Linked DNA regions of Arabidopsis thaliana. The protein of the gene in region 3 interacts with the protein of the main gene of each other region in a biochemical or structural test. Each region holds a gene or a part of one and is shown on either strand. Other genes may lie near its edges.

Evidence for each region. Proteins that work in one complex are often made in the same cells at the same time.
Region 1: the proteins of RAC3 (region 3) and ROPGEF11 form a complex in vitro, tested with the Arabidopsis thaliana proteins (one study listed by BioGRID).
Region 2: the proteins of RAC3 (region 3) and ROPGEF8 form a complex in vitro, tested with the Arabidopsis thaliana proteins (one study listed by BioGRID).

Annotation. Positions count from the first base shown.
Region 1 is NC_003070.9:19,454,995-19,460,603, forward strand, and holds ROPGEF11 (rop guanine nucleotide exchange factor-like protein), read right to left. Parts: upstream 3,076-5,609; 5' UTR 2,885-3,075; coding exon 2,575-2,884; intron 2,454-2,574; coding exon 2,337-2,453; intron 2,244-2,336; coding exon 2,014-2,243; intron 1,926-2,013; coding exon 1,662-1,925; intron 1,575-1,661; coding exon 1,254-1,574; intron 1,162-1,253; coding exon 772-1,161; 3' UTR 515-771; downstream 1-514. Other genes in the region: PSAH2 (photosystem I subunit H2), read left to right, coding at 1-38, 132-258, 335-514; AT1G52245 (dynein light chain LC6, flagellar outer arm-like protein), read right to left, coding at 3,850-3,996, 4,104-4,241. UniProt on the Arabidopsis thaliana protein: Guanine-nucleotide exchange factor (GEF) that acts as an activator of Rop (Rho of plants) GTPases by promoting the exchange of GDP for GTP.
Region 2 is NC_003074.8:8,979,900-8,985,619, reverse strand, and holds ROPGEF8 (RHO guanyl-nucleotide exchange factor 8), read left to right. Parts: upstream 1-2,716; 5' UTR 2,717-2,826; coding exon 2,827-3,079; intron 3,080-3,153; coding exon 3,154-3,270; intron 3,271-3,367; coding exon 3,368-3,522; intron 3,523-3,603; coding exon 3,604-3,678; intron 3,679-3,759; coding exon 3,760-4,032; intron 4,033-4,114; coding exon 4,115-4,435; intron 4,436-4,547; coding exon 4,548-4,925; 3' UTR 4,926-5,220; downstream 5,221-5,720. UniProt on the Arabidopsis thaliana protein: Guanine-nucleotide exchange factor (GEF) that acts as an activator of Rop (Rho of plants) GTPases by promoting the exchange of GDP for GTP. Active as homodimer.
Region 3 is NC_003075.7:16,669,706-16,676,035, reverse strand, and holds RAC3 (RAC-like 3), read right to left. Parts: upstream 3,845-6,330; 5' UTR 3,793-3,844; exon of another isoform or gene 3,616-3,792; intron 3,253-3,615; exon of another isoform or gene 3,205-3,252; 5' UTR 3,182-3,204; intron 3,118-3,181; exon of another isoform or gene 3,071-3,117; 5' UTR 2,861-3,070; coding exon 2,762-2,860; intron 2,458-2,761; coding exon 2,370-2,457; intron 2,286-2,369; coding exon 2,176-2,285; intron 2,074-2,175; coding exon 2,010-2,073; coding exon of another isoform or gene 1,930-2,009; exon of another isoform or gene 1,912-1,929; coding exon 1,847-1,911; intron 1,766-1,846; coding exon 1,700-1,765; intron 1,601-1,699; coding exon 1,496-1,600; 3' UTR 1,247-1,495; downstream 1-1,246. Other genes in the region: AT4G35025 (uncharacterized protein), read left to right, coding at 287-508; BGAL11 (beta-galactosidase 11), read left to right, coding at 4,062-4,271, 4,365-4,460, 4,559-4,671, 4,757-4,823, 4,913-5,005, 5,097-5,240, 5,322-5,416, 5,509-5,614 and 3 more. UniProt on the Arabidopsis thaliana protein: Inactive GDP-bound Rho GTPases reside in the cytosol, are found in a complex with Rho GDP-dissociation inhibitors (Rho GDIs), and are released from the GDI protein in order to translocate to membranes upon activation.

The DNA of each region.
Region 1 (5,609 bases), on a different chromosome or scaffold from region 3:
AAACCTTCTCGCCAAAGCTTCAAAACCAAATCCACCAGGTAAAGTTTAAAGCTTTGAAATTTGGAATCTTGGATTGACATTGATGAGGATTGGTATTAAAGAAAGGATGTTACTTTTGATTGTTTGTGTAGAGCTGGTGCTGTGGTGGCTAAGTATGGAGACAAAAGTGTATACTTTGATTTAGAAGATTTGGGTAACACAACAGGACAATGGGATGTGTATGGATCTGATGCTCCTTCTCCTTATAACCCACTTCAGGTTTTTGTACACTCTTAAATCTTTAGATCTATATGCTTCTTCAAATTCTAAGACTTTGTGATTATGTTGCTTGCAGAGCAAGTTCTTTGAGACATTTGCTGCTCCTTTCACAAAGAGAGGTTTGCTTCTCAAATTTTTGATTCTTGGAGGAGGCTCTTTGCTTACATATGTTAGTGCGAACTCTACCGGCGATGTTCTTCCGATTAAGAGAGGTCCTCAAGAGCCACCTAAGCTCGGTCCTCGCGGCAAGCTTTAAATTAGCTTTCTAAAATCTTTCAAAAAGTCAGAAACTTTCTCCCCAATTCTATGAACCCTATTTATGTATATTGTACTGTGTTGTGTTAATTGCTTTGTAAGCTAGTGATTCTGAAAATCAGTTATGATGAATCAATGAAATTGCATTTCAAGTCTGCTACAACACACAATGGTGCATTTTGTGGAATCTTTAAGCAGATTGAAAATGCAGTAAGAAGCCCTAATTTAACAAGAACGGAAAAAAGAAACCGGTTTCTCTCAGGAGTATCTTGCGGTTGGACTCCTCATAGCTCCAAGATTATCAAGATAAGAACTCTTCTTGTTGTTAGTCATTATACCTGTGACTTTCGACAACAACGGTTTCTCTCTATCTCCGAAAAAGCTTTCTTTCTTCATTTCATTGTTTTTGTTACCCCATTGCATAACATCAGAAAGTGTTCCTGAAGCCATATCCTCTGTGAAACTTAGTCTTTCCTCTCTTAGTTTCTCATTCTCCTTCAAGCTATATCTGTTCTTAGAAGGTGCATTATTTGTAGGTTCTTGAGTAAGCTGATCAGCGTAAAGCACGTCTTCTATTCTCGACATCACGGTGTGAGCTAAACTCTCAAGCACTCTTGAATAACTCTCCAATATCGCAAGTCCTACATCCTGCAACAACAATTATCCAATAATGAGATTTTCTCATGACCATAGAGAAAACACAATCAAAATGTATTTGGAAGTTAAGAGTTTTAAATTACTCTGTTGAATTGAATCTTGCTGATATCGAGCGAGGACTGTGAGATTCCGGGAAACCCTTGTTTTAATAGTAGCAAGATGGTTTCAGCTCTTTCTTCAAACTGTTCTCTTTTCTCAATACTCACTGTTGATCCCCAAGGAGACTTTGTGTCCTTCTGCACCATTTTCCTCTTCCATATCACAATCGATGCTTCGATTCTGTTCTTTAGATCAAGAATCTTGTGCTCAGATGATAAATCCATTTCAATTAGGAATTGATCTGCATCAAACATCTCTACTGTTATCATTCTGTATATCACATCTCCCAAGCTAGCTCTCCCATTCTGTTCTCAACAACACACGAAAACATCGATAAGGACTAGATCAATAACAGATTCTTGATGAATGTTTTTATGTGTTTATTAAATAACCTTAGGAAGTGACTCAAGGTAGCTTTCAGGAATCTCCATTTCAGACAGAACTTGAGCGTTTATCGCCATTGCAGCTTTAAGGACTTGATTCACACATTCCTTCTGGCTCTGTAGAAACCTTCTTGATATCTCTGAGAGGCCGTTAGGTGGGACTTTTACTGCCGGTAACCACCATTTCTCATCGTTCCTTGTCTCGCAAGAATCAGGAGAATCTTTTTTAACATAATAAAACTCATCCTGATCCTTGAATTTATCAAGACAATCCTGCAAGAGAATGATTATAAATGTGAGATTAATTATTTAACAGCCTTTGATTAGTATATTTTGTGCTGTTGTTGTTTGTTCTTCTTACGAGAAGCATAGCATCGAGTTTCTTAAGTGCAGGGATGTTACAGAGAAGATCTGTTCTTTGTCTTGTTGACATGACTTCCATTGAAGTACCATCTTTGTTTGTTTGTTGTGTTGGAGCGAATTCAACTATATAATCAGCCACAGAGATAAGCCATCCAATTTCTCTCCTCCAACGCGTTTTTCTATCCACCGCCATTGGCTCTAAACGCCGTTGTTCTCCAAACGCAGACGCTGCAACAACAAAAAAATTACAGAACTTAACATCAAATTGGTGATAAAATTGAAAATTTCCATGGAACTGAAAGATTTGGGAAAAGATCTTACCTGCGAGATTGGTAATGGCGTTAGATAAAGCCAAAGCCGATGAAACACCTTTTCCTCCTCCTGACATATCTTCTCCAAGAAGCAATTTCGAAAATTTCTCTTTCATTTGCTCCATTGCTGTAATAACAACAACATATACTTTAGTTTTTGCCCTAACTTATAATCCAAGATTAGTACTTTGCCCCTAACTTGCAATCCAAGAAACCTAGAAGATATGAGCCAGTTCATTAGATTTTACCTGCTTGCAATATTATTAGTGCCTCCATGGAATCCGATGAAGAGACTCTCGGAAGCTTGTCATTGCGATTAGGCGTTACTCCGCCTATAGGCAAAGAAGGTCGGTCAACGCTGCCACATTTTCCGGGTTGACTCCTAAACATCATCATGTCATTATCATCATCATCCAAATTGTCAGAACCATCCATTCTCATTGCACAATCTGAGCTCCAGCTTTTAACATGTCTTGAAGCTGAGTTTTCGTTCATGTTCTTGAAATGAAACAATCTTGATTTGTAAGTCTCTTGTTCTTGCTCCATTGCTTTTACCATTAATTACTAGTTAATCAAAACAATAAAAAAAATGAAAAGATTTCTATGATTTGAAAATTCTTTTTAATCTCCATTTGTTCTCCTCTTCGTGTAATAAAGAGGAGTTTTAGGAGATCATGAAGAAAAAACAAACTTAATTAACCAAAAAACGGTGTTTGATTTTAATTTCAGACTTAGCAAATACAGAACACCATCATTTGACTTCTGTTAATGGTTTTAGTTTTAACCTGATTATTTTAGTAACTATTATGATTCGTTGTCCATAACCATAAACAAGTAGTGAATTTGGTCAGATTCTTCAGGGGAAAAAAATAAGAGGATATTTTTAATTTTCTTGAAATGTTTTACTATTTATAAATTGATACTTGGTGGAATGTGGGCTGCACGTTATTTGAAAGTTGAATTTCTCCACACACATAAAAAAAATCTCAATCTTTTTCTTTAAATCAAACATTGAGATGTAGGGAGGACATGTTACTGACATTATCTGTAATATCATTTTTGTTTATGTCTTGTTGTATTAAAAAAATCTCAGTTTCTCAACTAAATTAAGGATTATGGATGATAATGTTTTCCTCAATTTTGACCTCTCTCTGAATTTCTATCAAAGTAAAAGTTTAAAATAAATTTATATTATGCTAATGATAGATTAGTCTAAGTCAGTCTAAGAAATTCTCTATTTGTGGCTGGGCAATTATAATTGTTTGCATCTCAACTAAAAGAATATAAATATAAAAAATCTTCTGCATTTCACTTTTATTGATCACAAAAGCAAACACTTGTAAAAATGAAAAATCTTACATCATTGAAATCAACTTCCTCTCTTAGCTTGGGCCTATTTACAAACTTAGAATTCAAACAAAGCTAAAGATCTTGATAGTCTTAGCAAGATTTTTTTTTCTCAGATTTTCATAGAAGCAAAAGAAAAAGGAAAAAAAAACATCCCCATGATTAGGGTAGTGTAATTAAGGAGTAGAAGCGCCTTTAAAGATGAGGAACTTAAGTGTCTCCAATTGAAAATAGATAAAAGTCCCTTTAGAATGTGTGAAGAAACACCCAAAATTTGATCCCACCACACATTGCCATCCACTCCCATATCTCTCATCAAACTCCTGAAAATTCATTATAGAACAAACAAAATTAACCAAGTAGTTATATATAGATGATAATGATGTATTTATGACTTATAAATAGAATTGAAGAAAATCATTACTAATACCTTCTTGATGTGACCAGCAATGGATTTACAGTCAAAGACATCAAAAAGGTCAAGAGCTTGAGAAGCAAATGCCATAGCTTGCATCTGCATCTTCACTGGCATGTCTGAATCTTCCACCATTGCTTTGCCTTCCAACATCTTTCTCTATCTCTCTCTCTCTCAATAACTCCAAACGTTTTTCAATTTTTTTGATGAGAACTAAAGACAAGGGAAGCTTTGGATCTTTATAGGCTCCTAAAAGACACAAAATGAAAAAAAGATTCCTTCAATATCTAATCTTTATCAAGAAAACCCATACAAAGATAAATAATGTCTCCTCTTTGAGGAAAAATATGGGAAAATGTGCCTAACCTTTTTCTTTGTCGTCTTCTCTTCACTGGGATTACTTCCTCACGGGTTCTTGGATTCAAAGTCTTTTCAAGAAGAAATGTACGTATAAGCATTCAAAAGAATGGCACGAACGAACACAACTGTTCTTTAAATTTAGTCAAAACGTTGATAATTTCAAGATGACAAAGCTGATCAAAGAAACAAAGTTGATAATTTGAAGACTAAAAAAAGGAACAAGACAGTTAAGAAAAAGTATAATAAAATAAGGTGTAATGACTCATTTGAGCAGATATATGTGTCTCTCTCTTACGTGTGTCCAAGTATTTTTTGTCTTTGACGTTTAATGGATAACGATGGAGAGGTGCATAATTAATTAGTTAAATAGCTAACATGTGAAAGAAAAAAAATGTAATTAGCTAAGCCTTCCACAAAACTCGTAAATATGTCGGTGTAACAGTTGGGATTTATAAGCCCATTAAGAAGGTTTAGGACCCATTGATCTAGCTAGCAACCTATGCTAGTTCTTGAAGAATTCTCAACTTTTTAATGCAAATGGTGTGTTTAATCTTTTTATGCCCATTGGAGTTTTGGATAGAAAACAAAATTTAGAGTAATTACCATGCATGCTTAAGTTGTAGTGGCAAAAAATGACTAAATTGAATTTATTTTATAGTTTAATTTAGAAAACACAATTACTAGTCTATAGTAGTTACTAATTATACACTTACATCACTTTTTTGTTCTTTAAATACTACCATCATAGGGTATTGCCGTATTGGCAATAAGTCCATAACTATTTGATAATTTATCAATGTGTTTTTCTTTTCTTACTTTTTTGAATAAAATGAAATGTTCTTATATACTTTCTAATAAAATGAAATTGCATTTTACCTTGTATACTCTAAATATGTATCATAATTTCCTTTCCTATACTAGTTGTTTTATCAAATCCTAAAAACATTAGTCAAACAATGCTACTAAACTCCACTCTCTTTTTGGTATTTCTTTAATATTTCATAACTTTCATTTATCAATTACTATGCAAAAAGCAACAATTTTTCTTACCAAAATTAAAAACCAAAAAGCAACAATATTTTTAATTTAGTTTTCCTTTGTTGTTTTTTTGACTAAAACATGCGAGTCTTCTTTCTTGGCTCCCGCCGTAAATCCTGGTGA
Region 2 (5,720 bases), on a different chromosome or scaffold from region 3:
TACAGTATGAGAAATTCGCTTACAAACAAAAGAAAGTTCGACATGCACTACAAATAACCAGGTTAATTTGGGTTTTGTTCGGTTAGTGTTTATGAGAGCTTCAGAAAGAAGCATTGTGGTAAAGAGTTTCTGTTGAACATGACTTGTGATTATAATACTGACCACATTTTGCCAATGAAAAAAGATTCAATCTCCAAAACATCAAAGATTTGCCATCATCTCTAAAGAAGATAGGTAATAATAATATGCTTTCCCCAGTCAGGATATTTAGTGTCTATAGTTGTGACGGCAAAGCAAATAGATTCTTCTTCTTCCTTATTAGCTTTATGGAGATGGATTTCAAGGCTTGAAACATTAATTGTTATTTATCTTGGTGAGAATTTTTCAATTTGTTCTCTTACATAGTTATTTTCTAATTAACTTATGTCTTTGTCTTCCATCTATAGCCATTTCTTTTCTGCATCTCTAAATTTACCACTCCATCTTTGTATCATAAACATCCCCACCTTTTCACCTTCCTCATATTTCCATCCAATTTACCACTCCATCTTTGTGTCATATAATCATATCTAAATTGAAAAAATCTCCTTGGGTCATTGACATATTGGAACCGAGAAAACAACTGATTTATGAATATTAAACGGCTTATTCATAATTAGGAGAAAATAAAAGCTTTACTTAATTTGATTTACTAATTTGAGTAACGTCATTTTCAAACTGAACTTAAAATAAAAACGTAAGAAAATAATATGAACTCTTAAAATTTTGACGTTTTGTAAGCCTTGAAGACAATTAGATATTTCTATATATTGTTAAATATTAACTTTTAACTTTCTTTTCTTATTTGTCTTTATAAAATGAACCGTAAAAGTTAGAAAACTCCTACCAACCAAAAAAAAAAAAAGTTAAAAAACTCCTAATTTTTTTTCAAGTTTTCGAAGTCCCAGATAGAATCTCTTCTACCAAATCCTACGAAAGATCAGAGATGATCGTCATTTTTTTTTGGTGGAAGAGATACTCTCTAGGACTTCGAGAATTTCTGGAAGAGCTATTGGATGCGCTTGCAAACGATGTAACACACTATTTAAAGATGAGAGCTTTACAAAGAAGCATTGTGGTAAATCTACCAAGGAGTTTCTGGTAACCATGACTTGTGAATATTCTTTTTTGACTGATATTTCACAAACTAGATTCAGTCTCCATAGCATCAAAGACTTTTCATCTATAAAGGAGATAGGTGAAATGGTCTGTCGAGTTCAAATATCTAAGCTAGTCTATCATTGTCACGGCTTATTGTTATTAGTCACCAAGGATTCCTCGAGGCTGGTGGTATGGAACCCATATGTTGGTAAGCTAGTGCAAACCAGATGGATCAAACCCAAAAATAATTATCATGAATCAGATTGGTATGCTATAGGATACGACAACAAGAACAACCACAAAATATAAGGCATGAAATCTATGATTTTAAGTCTAATTCTTCAAGTCTAGTTCGTGGAGGGTTCTTGACATTACTTATAATTCTTATATAACGTTTAAAAAGAGGCGTTTCTTTGAAGAGAAATACTTACTTTGTTGATCGTAAAGGCGACGATTTTTTTTATTTTTTTTATTTTACAACATAGAGATTTGGATCACGTCTGCATCTGCCGTTTGATTCCAATAGTTATGTGATTTCATATTGTGTTAGAGAAGAGTAGCTTGAGGTGTTTTTGGGCAGGTGTTTGGATAGATGTGTGATGGAGACATGGATTACAACTAAGATTGAGCCAAATGCAGTGTCGTGGAGCAAATTCTTTAAAGTTGAAATTCCACTTGTGTTTGGTTGTTACGTACTTTCTATCTGTGTTTGAAGTTTGCAGTTTCTTCATTGATAAAGAGAAAAAGCAGCATTTGTTGTGGTACATATGGTGTCAATCATCTCTTCGAGATATCTTTCGTGGTAAGAGAGAATATGTTCTTCAAAGTAACGGATTTCGGAGAAATGTTCTCTTATGTTCCAAGTTCGGTGCAGATCCAATACTTAAGGTCTAGTACATGCAGGAATCCTACAGCAGGAGGCAAAAGAAAAGGAGGAGATTACTAGTAATTTCTTACATTGCCTTGTTTGTTTATTATTCATGTTATATTGTTTTGAACAAGCCTGGTCAATGGCTTCTTTATTACTTGACAAGATCAAAAACATATTTTGGTGATTTGAAAACTAAACTTGTCATATAAACTTTGATATCTGACAAGTTTTATGTCTTTCTCTGGTGAATTATGTAGCTCTAGTGGTGAAGAAGACATTCCATAGTACATAAACATGGAAATGTAACCAATGAATCAATTGCACAGTGGTTGATTTCAAAGCCAAATAAACCAAAACTTAAGTAAATTCTAAACACTCAAAAGCAGAACAAGAAAAATGCAAGACATAAGGATAGCTAAATACTCTATTTGATGAATGGTAGATCTCCCATAAGAAAGTTGAATCAGTTTGGAGTTTTATTGTCTTTTCCGTACTTCGTGGAACGTCACTTTTATCACAAACCATCAATTTATTTCTAACACAAAAGAGAAGATAACCAATCATGGAAATAGCTAACTTCCTAAATTTTGATTTACTATTTTTATATTTGAAATGCATTTAGTCCTTAAAATCGAAAACAAACGTTTGTTCTTAAGAATTTTGTTTCATTTTCCAAATAAAAGAGGTTTTTTTTTTGTTCTTTTTATGCTTTTAACAAAAATCTTAGAGTTGTATCATCTTTAGATCAACTGGATTTTAAAGGAATAAAGGGCTTTAACTTGCGGGGCAAGAAAACAAGCGAACGTTGTCGTACCATGGTTGCAGCGTTGGAACGAGGACTAAGCGCTTCCAAATCATTCAACTTTAAAAGAATGTTTGATTCATCTTCGACGAAACAACAACAATCTCAAACTATTGTCGTGGAGAACGGAGATTCTCATATTGTCGAATCCAACACGCCTGAAAGCCAAAACTCCGACAGCTTCGTAGAAAGCCCCGTAGAGAGCAGCCTTCCAATGATTTCCCCTCTTACTCGGCCAGGAAAAAGATCTGAGAGACAACAAGCAGGTGTGTATCTTCTTTCCTTTTCCAATAACTTATATCCTTCAAAAAAAACCTAATAATCACATAAAGTATTGCAGATATGGAGATGATGAAAGACAGGTTCGCTAAATTGCTTCTTGGAGAAGATATGTCCGGTGGTGGGAAAGGCGTATCTTCTGCTCTGGCTCTTTCCAATGCCATCACAAATCTTGCTGGTAATCTTCTTTTTATACTTTTTAAGTTTCTTCTTTCGCAAGTAAGTATGAGGGTTTTGGTTTCTAAATCTTGTGTTGGTGGTATGATGATTTGCAGCGTCTATATTCGGAGAACAAACAAAGCTACAACCGATGCCGCAAGATAGACAAGCGAGATGGAAGAAAGAGATTGATTGGTTATTATCCGTGACCGATCACATTGTCGAGTTTGTTCCTTCTCAACAAACAAGCAAAGATGGAGTTTGCACTGAGGTTTGAGTTTCCCAAAGAAAAGAAAATATCATTTTTGCGACCTCTTTAGAATAAGTTACAATGTTAACCATTTTTTTGTAGATTATGGTGACAAGACAAAGAGGTGATCTTCTTATGAACATTCCAGCTCTTCGAAAACTTGACGCCATGCTCATCGTAAGTCTCTCCATTCAATCTGTATTGAATCCGGCTTATATCTAGCGTTTGGTGGATTAATGGTAATGATAACATGTTCAGGATACATTGGACAATTTCAGAGGACACAACGAGTTTTGGTATGTCTCAAGAGATTCAGAAGAAGGGCAGCAAGCAAGGAATGATCGGACAAACGACAAGTGGTGGCTACCACCGGTTAAAGTTCCTCCTGGAGGTTTATCAGAACCATCTCGGAGAATGCTTTACTTCCAAAAAGATTCAGTCACACAAGTTCAAAAAGCTGCAATGGCCATCAATGCTCAAGTCCTCTCAGAAATGGAAATACCTGAGAGCTACATCGACTCTCTCCCAAAGGTAAATCAATGTCACGTTTTTATTCAATTTCTATCTTTTGTTATTCTATGTTTGGCTCTTAAGATTTGATTTTTATTGACAGAACGGAAGAGCCAGCCTCGGGGATTCGATATACAAGAGCATAACAGAGGAATGGTTTGATCCTGAGCAGTTCTTAGCGATGTTGGACATGTCGACAGAGCACAAAGTGTTGGATTTGAAGAACAGAATTGAGGCATCTGTTGTGATTTGGAAGAGGAAGCTTCACACAAAGGACACCAAATCTTCGTGGGGCTCAGCAGTTAGCTTGGAGAAGAGAGAATTGTTCGAAGAGAGAGCAGAAACAATCTTGGTCTTGCTCAAACAAAAATTTCCCGGTCTTCCTCAATCTTCCCTTGACATCTCCAAGATTCAGTTTAACAAGGTAAATCAATCATAATGATAAGCTCTCATATATTGTAGATGCCTTGAATGGCAAGAAACAACTCATTTTTGTTTTGGTTATAAGAAAACTGATCTTTTATCAATGGATACAGGACGTTGGGCAAGCGGTGTTGGAAAGTTACTCTAGGATACTTGAGAGCTTGGCTTACACAGTGATGTCAAGGATAGAAGATGTTCTTTACACAGATACATTGGCACTAAAGCAAACTTTATTGGCTGAAGAAACATCAGATGGTGGGAGAACAACAGAGACGGATTCCGAGTCAGCGGGATCTTCTAACTCGGGAGAAGAAGCCGAGAAGCATGACCCACACTCCAAGACCTTGTTGGATTTTATGGGTTGGAATGATAATAGTTCCAAAGGAGGCGATAAACCTACTAAATCTCCAAACCTTACGCCGAAAAAGCTCTCATACTTGGAGAAGTTAGAGAATTTAAACGGTTTTAGAAGTCCCAAAGATAGGCATTAATCATGAAAATCCTTGTGAGATACTTTTATAGAGAACATAAAAGTGTAGATAGGGAAAAAGGAATGAAAGCAAAGTAGTAAATGAAGTAATCACACCCTCTTCCTTCCTCGGATAGAGAAGTCTTTAGCTTAAGGAGTTTTTAACTCTTAACAAGAAGATAACTATCTCAAATGTACATGTTATAATCTTTAAATGTTCTCTTTGTTTTTCTTGACTTTCAAAAATAGAGGATATTTAATACGTTTAACTATGTGTATCAAATTATCAAACAATATGCGTATGGTCCAAACTCCAAAGGTGCATTTGAAATATATCAAACATATCTAAAAACGTAAAACAAATTGACCACTTAATCTTGGATATAAAGTTAATCGTACGTTTTACAATCTTCAATATTTCAAATCTGATATTACTTTTAAAAATTCATGTGTGTGGAGTATATTTGCAGTATACTTTAAACTTTGTTTCTAATAATTTGTTCATGAAATTCTTTTGAAATTTATTTAAAAAGACTTAGTATACAAATATTTCTAAGATATGTAATTTTGAGTAACCTTTGTTTTTTTTAAGAAATTAATCTTAATTTAATAATACCAAATTGTAAAATCTCCTTTAATCATGATTTACAAAAAGATCAAATAACACAAGATTTTAAGACATAATTTAATTCGAAAAAGGCCACGTAGGCTAGTGAATAGTTATGATCCACATTGCGTGTTAGTTCAATGGACCCATGACAGGCCTTTGGGCCAGGGAAATAAAAGTCGGTTTTCTACAAGAAACAGTATGTAGTTT
Region 3 (6,330 bases):
TACATCTATTATTAAATTTGGTCTTTAAATAATAAGAATCGAAAATCTGCCGCCATGTACCATCAGCATTGTGTAACTGCTACGACTAAGAAAGATCGATGATTGACCAGAAAATAAACAAATATACATTAAAGGACATGATTTATCTCAGACGTAAATGTTGATCTTCTTCTATCATCTTATGGGTGAATCATAGAGAGATGGACTCAATTTGTTAAATGAAATGAGTTTATAATCAAATAAAAACCTACCGGATCAAGAACATTACGTACGAACACAAGTGAGAATGAAAGTGTCGGCGAGAGAGAGAAAGAAAAGGAGTGAGCAAACAAAGAGACAACACCGAGTTTTGTTTTTAAGAGTTTTACAAGAAAAGGAAAAAAAGTTAGTTAGGGGAAAAAATAGCGGGAAACCGTCGATATCCGGTGAGTCAAAGGGGATTTGTGAGTGTGTAGCCACCGGCTATTGCGGGTTAAACGTAACGAACACGCCTCGACTTAAGCCTTGAAGGCAGCCTCCTCCGTACGGCAATGGCTCGAGAATTAAATGAACTAAGTCCCGTGCACACTACGCACTTTTCTTCTTCATATATTTAAAAAAACTTCCACTTTCTTTATGAAGATCTCAGTTATTATTTTCTGATGTTTAATTGATTTGTTAACATATTTTACTAGCAGCATGTGAATTTATGTTTTTCACAAGAATAATGCAAATTCTTAAGTGATTGAAAGACATATTAGGTGAATATTAGTTCACTAAACGTCATGACACATATCTAATCATTTCAATTAGTTTAGGAATCGAATAATACGTGGGTCTAAATCAAGGGGCAGATAACGCAAAGAAAGAGATTGATCAACAAACATATATGTTTGGTAAAGAGAAGCCAAGCTTATTCACCATAAATTTTATTTAATCAATGATTTATTTTTCCTTTTTTTTGTCTTTTCCGGTGAGAGTTAAAATCAATCATTCTATTATCTCCAAGGGGAAAACGTCTAGTCAATAAGCAAAATGAATATCAAATAAATTTGATTAAAAATGTAAAATCAAAAGTTTTGAGGTTCTGAAATCATTGAAGATTATAGTCTAAAGATCAGGTTAGGTCTATGTGGAATTGATATGTATGGAAGACACTCTGGCTCATTCAGAAGGTTTCAAATAAGCTGGTTTAGATACTATTGTCCAAGAAAGACAAGTGCTCTCTCATTCTCATTGGTTCGCGCGTGTAAGCTCTCATTGTCTTTAGGTTTGGAACATAATCCTTAAGACAATTGGTGTGAATCTAGGAAACAGAGAAATCAAGGATTCGTGGTATATTTACAGATCAAAATGCAAACAAGAATACAAATACTTGTTACTAGTTCTTCAACTTTTGTCATTTTCAGACTACAAACAACAGATTTTTGATTCCTTGGGTAAACAAGTTATGAAAAAGGAGAAAACAAATACTTATAGCTCTAATTCTCCTGTTGATTCCTTTCTTCTTGTTGAATCAGAGTATAGAACAACCTTTCTGAGATTTTCTCTTCTTCTTCTTCTTGTTTTTTGGTGGCTGGAGAACGACCTTGATAGCCGCATCAAACACTGCTTTCACATTCTGTTGAACAGATAACAGATATAGGAATCATCAGCAGATTCAATTGGCGGTTTTAGACAGGTAAAGATTAGATAAAGATATTGACTCTCAGGTTAATACCTGTTGAGTTTTTGCACTGCATTCGATATAAGCAGGCGCCCCAATCAGCTTCTTTAGTTCTTCACCCTGTTTTGATACCATCAAAATATGAAACATGCAGAATATTAACACCTAGGATTCAGTTTAGAAAGATAATGAGAAAGGTACCTGAGCGGTAGAGATAGGCACAGCACCAGGGTGCTCGGCAAAGAATTGCTTATCATCTCGAAGATCTGTACGAGACTCAGTCATCAAAATATCAGAAGAGTTCCCCAAAACAGAAAACCCCCGATAATCAGGCGATTAAGAGTTGAGCTAAGAAAAAACCAACCAAGCTTTGTTCCAACGAGGATGATGGGAACACCAGGAGCATAATGTCTCAGTTCAGGAACCCACTAAGAATCAAAAGCAAGATACCAAATGTATTCTATCAGAATCACTGAATGTAAACTGAATAAAACAGGAAAGAAGTTTCAGGAGAAGACCACAGATCAAACCTTTTTAGAAACATTTTCATAGCTAGCTTTGCTGACAAGTGAGAATGCAAGTAAGAAGACATCTGCACCGCGATAGCTCAAAGGTCTTAGTCTATTGTAGTCCTCTTGCCCTGTTTCACCAAGTCAAAAACACAAATGACTCTCTGGAAGAGGAGGAAATTCAAAAGACAAAAAAATCCAAGGTAACAACTTGCCTGCAGTATCCCACAATCCCAAGTTGATAGTGTTGCCATCAACAATCACATTGGCACTGAAATTATCGAACACAGTTGGCACATAATCCTGTCACATAGAAAATTCCACTAAAACATCAGCTACAAAATCTCCTTACAGAAAGTTACCTAACACTCTTTCTAAGATCATTAAACAGATCAACAACATTGCTACGGTACATGAATCTCTGAGTCTCTCAAATCCTAAAGATCACATCAGTACATTCACTAAGGTAGCAGAAAGAAGAAGACTTTAAGAAAACCTAACAAATACTTGTGACTAAATCCAACTCATAAGCTTCAACAACAAAACCAACTTCACCAAGCTAAAATTTCACGAAATCAAAGTAAAAGAAGAGAACTTTAAAGCTAACCGTGGGGAAAGTGTTGCTAGTGTAGGAGATGAGAAGACAAGTCTTTCCAACAGCACCGTCGCCGACAGTGACACACTTGATAAACCTTGAAGCACTCATCTTTCTCTCCTTCTTCAAACTTCAAAAACCCTAATTTGTTCACGAATTGGGGATTTTTGACTAAAGAGAGAGAGAGTGAGGTTCTTTAAAGAGAAAGAAGACAAAGAAATAGCTGCTGAAAGTCTCTCCCAGACTAGAGTCTTCCTAATTTTTACTACTCATCCTCACATGCACCTCAATTTCTTGGTCTTCTTCTTCCTTTTTTTTCTTCTTTTTACTAAAATTTTATAAAATAGCATTTCTTCTTAGATAGTGCGTTTCCCAACATAAGACCCTACAAAAATTTATGGGATGAAAATTATAATAATAATTTCTATGTACTTTTTTTTTTTTTTTTTTTTAAACTTCGTTTTCATCTAATACTATGCAGCCCATATACTAAATGCCTAAATCTATACATATTTAGATTGATCTTTAAATATCAATAAAAAATTTAGCTAAATTTTGACTGGTTTAGAGGATTTTTCCGATGTGTCATTAGGATTATACAACTATGGTTTAAATATCAATAAAAAATATAGCTGGTTTTACAATGCAATATGATTGGAGTGTTAATTTTTATTGATCAGCCTCCTTTGGATACATATTCTTCTGTTACATGTTAAATGATAATATTTTTGTCCCGGTATGTTGAAGTAAACATTAAAAATGTACATACAACTTCTCTAAGAAATAAATGTTGAGACACTAAAAAAAACGTGAACTTAAGGTCAATATTTAATATTTTTATAACCAATCACGGTATAAAGGCTTACCTTTTGAATCTGTCTAGCTAGTTATTGACCGTTAATTTTAAAAACACTTATTGACCGTTAAAGAATCTGTTATGGGGACCCAAAAAAAACGAATGGTAATTTCACTAATTTGTTATGTTATGTCCAACATAATAGGCGAAGAATAGGGTGAAACCAACATTTAAAAATAGCAAAAACAAATTAAAAAAAAAAAATCGAAAAGGAAAAATGAAGAGAGTTTCAAAGTTACAACGGTGGATTCTATTTCAGACGCGTAAATTTCTCCGGAAACCTGAAAACCTGAGTGCGAAACATTCTCTTATATCATCCTCTTTTCTGAAAGCTTGTTATTTGAGCTCTCCTTGTTTTTTATTCCTCCGACAAGGACGAGGTTCCAAGAGAACTTAGCTTCTTGTTCTACGTACGACACCAAAAATTAATTCAAAAAAGAAAAAGAAGAGAGTTCAATGAGAAAACATTCTCTTGATCGATGGCTTTTAACAGCTGTTCTTGTCGTTCTCCTCTCGTCTTCTTCCTCCTTCGCGGCCAAGAAGGACGCCAAGAAGAAGAAGAAGAGTAATAAGGAGGTGACATATGATGGAACCTCTTTGATCATCGATGGCAAAAGAGAGCTTCTTTATTCTGGCTCTATTCATTACCCGAGAAGCACTCCGGAAGTATTTATTGAATCACATAATCTCTGTTTTTCTAAAACGTTTTTTTTTTTTTTTTGTATATTGAGATTATTGTGTCATTTGGGTTTGGTTTAGATGTGGCCAAGTATCATCAAGAGAGCCAAGCAAGGCGGTTTGAACACGATTCAGACATACGTTTTCTGGAATGTACATGAGCCTCAACAAGGAAAGGTAATTCATAACCAAAAACTGATCTATATATAGAACATATAAAACACGCATGCATGAATCTTTAGGATTCATAATGTATTTTGTGTTGCGTTCATCAGTTCAACTTTTCGGGACGAGCTGATTTGGTGAAGTTCATAAAGTTGATTCAAAAGAATGGAATGTATGTGACCTTAAGGCTTGGACCGTTCATCCAAGCTGAATGGACTCATGGGTAATAATGCATTGCTTCTTCTTCTTTTTCGGCGTTCTCAAGATCTTCATTTTAACATTTTATATGATCTCTTTGTGATGATCAGAGGACTTCCTTATTGGCTTAGAGAAGTTCCTGGAATTTTCTTCCGTACAGACAATAAACAATTCAAGGTATTATACATAGAATTACTATATATATGTCAATGTGTGTTTTGTTACAATTAGATATATTACAAGATATGACCATAAAAATATTGCAGGAGCATACAGAAAGGTATGTACGGATGATACTCGACAAAATGAAGGAGGAAAGATTGTTTGCGTCACAAGGAGGCCCCATTATATTAGGACAGGTGACAACAAAGAAAAGAGAAACCTATATATTTATATATGATTTGAAAAATGTTATAAAATGATGAGTTTTGGAATGAATATGAATTGCAGATAGAAAACGAATATAGCGCGGTTCAACGTGCATATAAACAAGACGGGTTAAACTACATTAAATGGGCATCTAATTTGGTGGACTCAATGAAACTCGGGATCCCATGGGTTATGTGCAAGCAGAACGACGCTCCTGATCCTATGGTAAAGTTCATTTTTACATGATTGTGTTTTATCCGAATGAGGAAGAAAGTTTTAAAATATTTGAAAACACTGTGGAAACAGATCAATGCTTGTAATGGAAGACATTGCGGTGATACTTTCCCCGGTCCAAACAGAGAAAACAAACCATCTTTATGGACTGAGAATTGGACTACTCAGTGAGTTTGTTTTTCTTACTCTTGAATTAAACATGTAAAAACCTTAGGTTCATTCATATAAGTGTTGAATATCTTGCCAATTTCTTCAATAGGTTCCGCGTGTTTGGTGATCCGCCAACTCAAAGATCAGTAGAAGATATCGCGTATTCAGTTGCTCGATTCTTCTCCAAGAACGGAACCCATGTCAACTACTACATGGTAAAAATTATGATCCATTCGAGTTAACCATATATGCAAAAATGATTGTCAAAATTCTCAAAATGGTTCTTTAATCTTGTAGTACCACGGAGGGACTAACTTTGGAAGAACCTCTGCACATTATGTGACCACTAGATACTACGATGATGCACCTCTTGATGAATATGGTTTAGAGAAAGAGCCTAAGTATGGTCATCTTAAGCATCTTCACAACGCTCTTAACCTCTGCAAGAAGCCACTTCTTTGGGGTCAGCCTAAAACCGAGAAACCTGGAAAAGATACAGAGGTATTAGCATATATGCATGTACACATACAAACAGACTCTGATTTGTTTTTTCAAAATGCTTAAAGGATTCAACTTTTTGGTGTGTAATAACAGATTAGATACTACGAACAACCTGGAACCAAAACTTGTGCTGCTTTCTTGGCTAACAACAATACTGAAGCTGCAGAAACCATCAAATTCAAGGGCAGAGAATACGTGATCGCGCCTCGTTCTATTAGTATTCTTCCCGATTGTAAAACTGTTGTTTACAACACTGCACAGGTGAAGAAAACATTAAATACCGGTTTATTTGAGCAAAAAAAACAGAGTTTTAACAAGTTCTTGTTTGTTATTGGACCAGATTGTTTCTCAACACACTTCAAGGAACTTTATGAAGTCTAAAAAGGCAAACAAGAAGTTTGATTTCAAAGTTTTCACAGAGACATTGCCT